Daphnia pulex: one gene and its partner. The protein of the gene in region 1 purifies or fractionates together with the protein of each later gene. This does not show direct contact. Links are inferred from orthologs where the notes say so. Each region holds a gene or a part of one and is shown on either strand. Other genes may lie near its edges.

What was found. Proteins that work in one complex are often made in the same cells at the same time.
Region 2: the proteins of intraflagellar transport protein 88 homolog (region 1) and intraflagellar transport protein 46 homolog purify together in Homo sapiens (affinity purification with mass spectrometry; 3 studies listed by BioGRID and IntAct, with this or other methods). This does not show direct contact. The link is inferred for Daphnia pulex from reciprocal best matches to the Homo sapiens genes IFT88 and IFT46.

What each region holds. Positions count from the first base shown.
Region 1 is NC_060019.1:9,737,784-9,741,545, reverse strand, and holds the start of intraflagellar transport protein 88 homolog, read right to left. Parts: upstream 2,579-3,762; 5' UTR 2,213-2,578; intron 2,129-2,212; 5' UTR 2,101-2,128; coding exon 1,954-2,100; intron 1,833-1,953; coding exon 1,651-1,832; intron 1,590-1,650; coding exon 1,397-1,589; intron 1,312-1,396; coding exon 1,094-1,311; intron 1,009-1,093; coding exon 899-1,008; intron 824-898; coding exon 705-823; intron 593-704; coding exon 435-592; intron 366-434; coding exon 179-365; intron 83-178; coding exon 1-82. UniProt on the Homo sapiens protein: Positively regulates primary cilium biogenesis. Also involved in autophagy since it is required for trafficking of ATG16L and the expansion of the autophagic compartment.
Region 2 is NC_060020.1:8,814,277-8,817,335, forward strand, and holds the end of intraflagellar transport protein 46 homolog, read right to left. Parts: coding exon of another isoform or gene 3,054-3,059; exon of another isoform or gene 3,032-3,053; intron 2,963-3,031; exon of another isoform or gene 2,517-2,962; intron 2,452-2,516; exon of another isoform or gene 1,849-2,451; intron 1,218-1,848; coding exon 1,063-1,217; 3' UTR 528-1,062; downstream 1-527. UniProt on the Homo sapiens protein: Forms part of a complex involved in intraflagellar transport (IFT), the bi-directional movement of particles required for the assembly, maintenance and functioning of primary cilia. May play a role in chondrocyte maturation and skeletogenesis.

The DNA.
Region 1 (3,762 bases):
AGCAGACGAAGGCGGCCGCATTGTAAGGATCCGAATCTCTAGCCACTTCGGCGTATTTTTCAGCGCTGGCTATGTCACCTTGCTGAATCATATCGTTAGTAAAAAAATAGAAAAAGAAAAGAAAAAAACGGAATTAGTTTACGATTGTGTAAATTTATGCAGTAGGCGTTGAACGTACTAGGTAATAAATTGTCGACAGGTTGACAGCTGCGTTGGTAGCCATTCTGCTGGATCGTTTTTCAAAGCTCCTCAGCGTTTCGGTAGCCAGGGCCACGTCCTTTTGGCGTAGAAAGAGTACGGCTTTATTGATCTCCAAATCGTCTGCCAGATGATTGTGGGTTGACTCTTTGATGGCCTCGACGCACCTGGACATAAATCATTGTTATTTATCAAACATCCCCCCACGACGGATTTGAATAAATTATACAACTTACCACTGGTAGCCAACACTAAAAGTATCTTCGATCACAGGCGAGATTAACTTGGCGGCCATCAATATGCACCTTTCACCTTCAAATTTGGCCTGACGCTCCAAACGGTGTAACGAATCGTTATTCAACGCTTCACGCAACGAATTCCACTGGGCGTCACCCTGTGCAAACATCATTTATCCAGGAGAGGGGGAAGAAGAAAAATAAACAAAACAACAGAACTGAGCACACGAGATTATTCAAATTGAGAATGAGGCAGAGCATCTTATTAACCTCCGGCACCAGTTTATCAAAATCGTCCGACTCGGCACGAACGTCCAGCAAGCGAAGGAACGATTTGCGCATATTTTCCCGATCTGCCAAGGCGTAGTAGCTGAGCACCATGTGTAAACCTTTGAATGTTTGACGTTTTGGCATCAGGAAAAAGGGTAAAGCAATAAATTTAAACCAATTTGAAATTGACTTACCAGTTTTGAAGTCGGGCTTTTCTTGCATAACAAATTCGAAGCTCGTACAGGCGTCGTTGTACTGCCCCATTTTGATAAACAGCAAGCCAATGTTCTGCATTATTTTCGTCCTAATAAGGAATTCGTTTAGCAAGAGTAATCGAGAATTAGTTCTAAAACAAATAATGAAAATGTTATTACAGCCATTTACACTACCTTAATGTTGTAAAGTGAGCCGGAACTTGATCTAAAGCCATTCGATACTGCTTGAGTGAGAGCGCGTACTGTCCCAGACGAAAATGTAAATTGGCGGTATTGAGTCGCAGTCGACCGATGTTGGCGAAAGAACGATTTTTAATTAGCTGCTGATAGGACGACATGGCTTCTGAAAACAGTCCGTTACCGACGTACTGATTCGCTAGGTTGAACAGCACCTGTTTATTCGAAAATTCTTCGTATTAGTAAAAAACATGGAATAGCAAATTTTTTAAAGCAAATCAAGGCGCAGATCGTAATTACCATGAAAGCGAGGTCGCTATTCGATTCCCCCATGCCGGATTGCTCCTTTTGACGTATAAGACTTCGTTCTTTATTGACCGCTTCTTTGGCCTTGTCTAGTGCCACTCTAAATTCCTCTTTACTGTGAGCCACAATTGATTCTTCTATAATTTGTTGTATGCTACTTTCCAGCATTTTCATCTGCTTTTCTGGCCTGTGTAAGATTATAATGAATTTTGTGTAATAAGTTTGGGTTGACAACAAAAGCTACATACGGATCAACAGCTTTAGGTTCTGAAAATGGTGTTGTAACCCTGCCAGATTGATTCAAAGGATCGTAGACCTGACTGGCTGTTGCCAATCTTGATGAAGTATATCCTGCTCCACGAATTGCAGTTACTGGTCTGGCAACTGCAGTTGGAACCCCACCACGAGATGCTGTAACCACTCTTGATTGCTAATATCAAGTGCAATTGATGATAAATAAATGAAAATTGATATTTGGAAATCTTATTAATGTACCACTAAACAAATGAATAAAACCGCTGAGACATTTTACATAGTCTTGTTAACATTACCTGCATCTGTAGCATTGACTGCTGGTTTTTAACATCTCTAGATAGGGAGTCTTGAATGAGGCTAGATGTGTTCAGTGTAGGATGAAATTCATTGAATCCAGAATAAAGATCATCTTCATCATACGTTTCCATGTTATACTTATCCATATTATATCACTGAAAGATATGATCACTTCTAAGTAGTAATATGTAAGGTCAAAACAAACAATCACCATAGCAACTGTGTAACTCATTCCATTGTTGAACAATCTGACAGTACCCAAATTGCAGCCAGAAATAGCTTCTTTGATGATGACAGCCATATTAGCAATATTCTCAGCTATGAAATGTAATTAAACTTGTTACAATTTCTCCTAACCCATTGTTGAAAACAGGTTGATATGATTTTAACCACCGGTGCAACTTATGCTCGCTTATGCTTCTGAATTCCTATCAGAGGTAGTAGTAGACTAGTAGTAATGATTCTAAAAGGATTGGGCATCTTGGAAAATTTTTCAGCCTTGCAGCTGTATTCCTCCATTCATTTTTTATCCAGATAAGAAAATGAACTCCAAAAAATAACGACATTCCATTGCTAAATGACAACAGTCAACTGCTGTTTGTCTTTGTCAGCTAGGTGAGCTAGCCGCCCTAGCCCTAGCAGACAATGTTTTTCTAAAATACAACGTTGCTGTTATTTCCCTGATAGAAAACGACGAGCAGTCGGGGGGTGGGTGGGTAAGTCGAATAAGGCGCCGCTTAGTGAGTGATCGGGGCACTTTGGCAGAGTGATAGACTGATAGAGACTATGGTGATATTGGTGAAGCGACGCTGTAGGAATTCTCCATCATCTTATTATCTATTATCCATTACCTCTATCATCACAGATTATCTGTAAGTTATGTTATTAGCGCCACAAAAAAGAAACGTTTAACAGTAACATGAAAAAAATGTCCGCTCTACACCCTGGTTGACACTCAATTGCAAGAATAACTAACAATCAAAGACTTTGATACTCACATAATATTCTCCCCTTTCAATTTGTATCTCGTCTTCACCCAAAAATGAAAAATTCACCACCGCAGCATCACAGCACATCACAACAGACGAAATCCCCCCATTGCTTCTACAATGAGAGGAAGGCAGCATGACATTCGCTTTTGTGTCTCATCTGTTACTGTTAGTGATTCCAGATTGTTGACGAAATATCGTCGAGCTACCTCTACGTATCACCCTTTTAGCTTTAGTCCTGTCATTCTGAACTGAGCCTTACCTGTGATTAATCTTTCTTTCTTCTAATTAGGTTCGATGGCCATTGATGATTAGTGAGCAGCATAGGAATGCGACAGCTTTGTCTGGGTCTGGGCTAAATGCCCTACTAGATAGAATCCTCTTGGGAAACTTCGCTGCTCCTAAGTTACACAATACACCTCTTAAGCTACTTCCAAAAAGCAAAACAAATTTAGATTAGGATTTTGAGGTAAGTTTAACTGTTTTTAATTAATAACAATTACAACATAATTTAGCTATTGGTTCTAATTGCATTCTTGTACACTGTAAATTTAAATTTGTTGATTAATTTCCCTGCTATAATGCAATATATTTTATTAGTTTATGTTCAGGTGGGAGATCCATTTGCTTGTCTATCAAATAATTTGAGATCACAACAAAGTCTGAGCTTCATTGCTGTCATGCAGATGGTTTCATTGCAACCACCCGGTGAAAAAGGAGTTCAAGTTGAGCTGCAGCTGCTGCAAGCAGTCTGTAGCGGTGATGTCATCCTGAAGTGTTCTCAATGTGTCAGTCTAGGCTGAAGCTAATTAAAGTGTG
Region 2 (3,059 bases), on another chromosome or scaffold:
ATCTCGCGGTCGTGTTCGAGTCCATCGGCTTAAGAAAGATTCTATAAAATAATAAATATATTGAATATCAAGAGAAGTGACCTAACATCCGTATCCGTTTGGGGAGGCATGTTGCCTGGTGGCTAGACAAGGCTAAGTCGATTAGAAGAAAACTTAACGACAGTGTAGTATGCGAATATACTTGAAACAAATTTACTCGCCTTCATTCGAACTAATTTTCAACGTGATGACAGGAGAAAGTTCGTTCAAGACAAGTAAATTTATGTCTTTCTTTATTCGCATCAATTTTAACACATTTTTCCTTTGGAAATATGGATTGAATTAACTCCAAATTTAGCTGCGCTGGAATAAAAGCCTACCAAGGGATGCAACAGGGATTCCACTGAAAGTGTTTAGGGTTAGCAAGATTAGGAATTATGCAAAGGGAGGACACAAGATGGGTTGCATTTCAACGGAAGGGACGCTGATAACGCTAAAGAGCTATTTGAGATGGTTTACTGAAGAAATGGTATTGAAAGTAAACAGTGTATTCAATGGCATAAACGCTCGCTTAAAGTTCAACGCTCAAACTTCTGAAATGGGAAAAAGGCAGAGTGGTATAATTTACACATAATATCAGTAGTAGTCTATATCACATTTTTAAATCATCTCGTAGCCCTATACATAATCTCCATGTATTCTCGGAATTGTTTTCTTTTTCCGCAAAAGTTCTAGTAACTTCTCGGAAAACTTATGGAAAACGGCGATGACAAATTATTCAACGGATATTCCTGCGTTTAAACAAAAAAAAACTGGAAGCTTTGATTGTCTCAATGCAAAATTTAATGGACGAATCATTTTCTGTCAGATCAAATGAACTACAAATTCGTAAATACAAACCGCAACCGTATCTAAACAAAAAAATGTTGCTGAATTATTTTTTTGATTTGAGGCAAAAACAAAGAAATCAATTTAAAGGATCGTTTGGTGAAGGAATTGTCAATTATGGATAGTGACGTTTACAAAATTAGGCGTACAGAAGCTATATTAATCATGTTGTGTATTATCTTTCTTGGAAAGGTTTCAGAGATAAGGAGATGGCTTCCTCTGTGTAAAATCCAGCAGTCGACATTTAGCCCCCTCCTTCTCCTCAGAAGACGAATTCGACTGCGCTGCTCCTTTCGGCGAGCTCCGGAAGCTTTGCCTTACTTTGAGGTATGGGCGGTATGGTTCAAATCCTGAAGTATTGGGTAATAAGTAGAATAAATATTCCAAGGATAAAGGTGGCATAAAGAAGGTAACCTCAAATTATTTCTTTGGGATTCAAGGGAGTCGACAATTTCTTATTGATGCATTTCAGGAAGCTAACAACTATCGTAGGGATTCCTTATTTGATACTGTTATGGAAAAGGTTTTAAAAATTACCTTTTACATTTTACAGGCACATTCACATCAGCTACCCATTTTTTTATCCTATAATGTCACTGCAAAAATTTGAAATCAAAGGCTATTGAAGTAACTAATTTTACAAGACTTTTTTTAAAACTGCTCGTTATTGTAAAAGAAAAATCAACAAAAATTTAATAAATATTATCATACAATTTTTATTTCTAGAAACATATTAGAGACTTTTTTTATCTGAAAACTGTGCAGAAAGTTGACAAAAAAAGCTTCCTGGCATATGGACTAGGATTTACTATTATAGCCGTGTAGTATTTGCCATTATTCTATTATTGCAAACTATTTTAGTAATAGAACCACAGTGTGGCTTAAATTCTAGAAAAAAAAATTCTTTTTATCTGTAGCAAGGCGGGAACCGACAGTTCTTATAGCAAGTCAGACCCTGCTAGCCTTGATGGTGCGATTGCGTTGGATGGTGCAATTGTAACTGCGCCACCCAACTAACACTTTCTCTTCTTGCACAATCACATCCTGGTGATGGTGCTACTGTATTTGTATTTGCGCCTCAAGTATACAGTGATGTTGCAATCACATCTGTGTATTAAAGCCCACGCTCTGTCTCTTCCAACCAGAGTTGCCCGGCAGTGTATTCCCCAGCATCGGTAAATATACGTATCCTTCTCAAGATATATGTTCAGTGTTTGTGTTGTTCTTTGGTAATCTAAGTGTTAATGTTAGTTAAGTGTTAGAGCAAATTAAGTGTTAGTGCTTGAATCTTGTGATAAGTTCATCATCACATACCAAAGACTTATACTGTGGCTTTTTGGATTCAATTTGCCAAAGAAGCAAAACGGTGTTTTCCAAGAAGCCAGAGACTGGGGACCAAGAAGCCACACCTCATACGTCATGATGCTTCTTGGCCAGTATGGTAGTGTGGCTTCTTGGTGCTGGCTTCTAGTGAAAGTGGCTTCTTGACTTGACGACGAAAACGTGGGAGATTGTCACTGATGATGGAGAATCTTTTGACGAAAAGGCAGCTGTCTGGCATATAAATGACAAAGCAATGTGAAAGTATGCTTAACAATACTGTTAATAAACGCTAGTCTAAATCTAAATTATTCAATATTTAAATTTAGAAAAGTAAATTTTGGTGGACAGTGATTTCAAGGACCGCCCACCAAACATGGTGGGGACCCGATTTAATCTAAGAGGAGCCTATCTCAACTTTGAAGAGATATTACGTGTTGAAATTCAAATTTTAAGAGTAGAAAAATACTTTTGAGAATCAGCGTGAAAAACTGATTAGAATTATATTTATTTTTACCTGATCCCTTATTCATGCACAAACCCTAATGAATAATTTCGTCTATAATAGGATGTCAAGATATACTCTGTAATCTCGATTCACGTTTCTATTTCATTTAACTAAAGCATAAAACTCTCACTGAACCCTTTGTTCCAGCCATTTGTTCTTATAGGAACACTGAGTTATGCCGAGACTTGATTCTATTTTATTTTATTTGCTACAAACCAAAATAAAATGCACTATGTATTTTTTACGGGGATACATCAATCAAGGTAGCCCATTTTCCTGTAATTATGTTTCAGTGGTATTTTAGTAAAATACTTCGTTATTTGACGTGTACAGTAGTTTGATGTTTTCTTTTACTTTATTACTT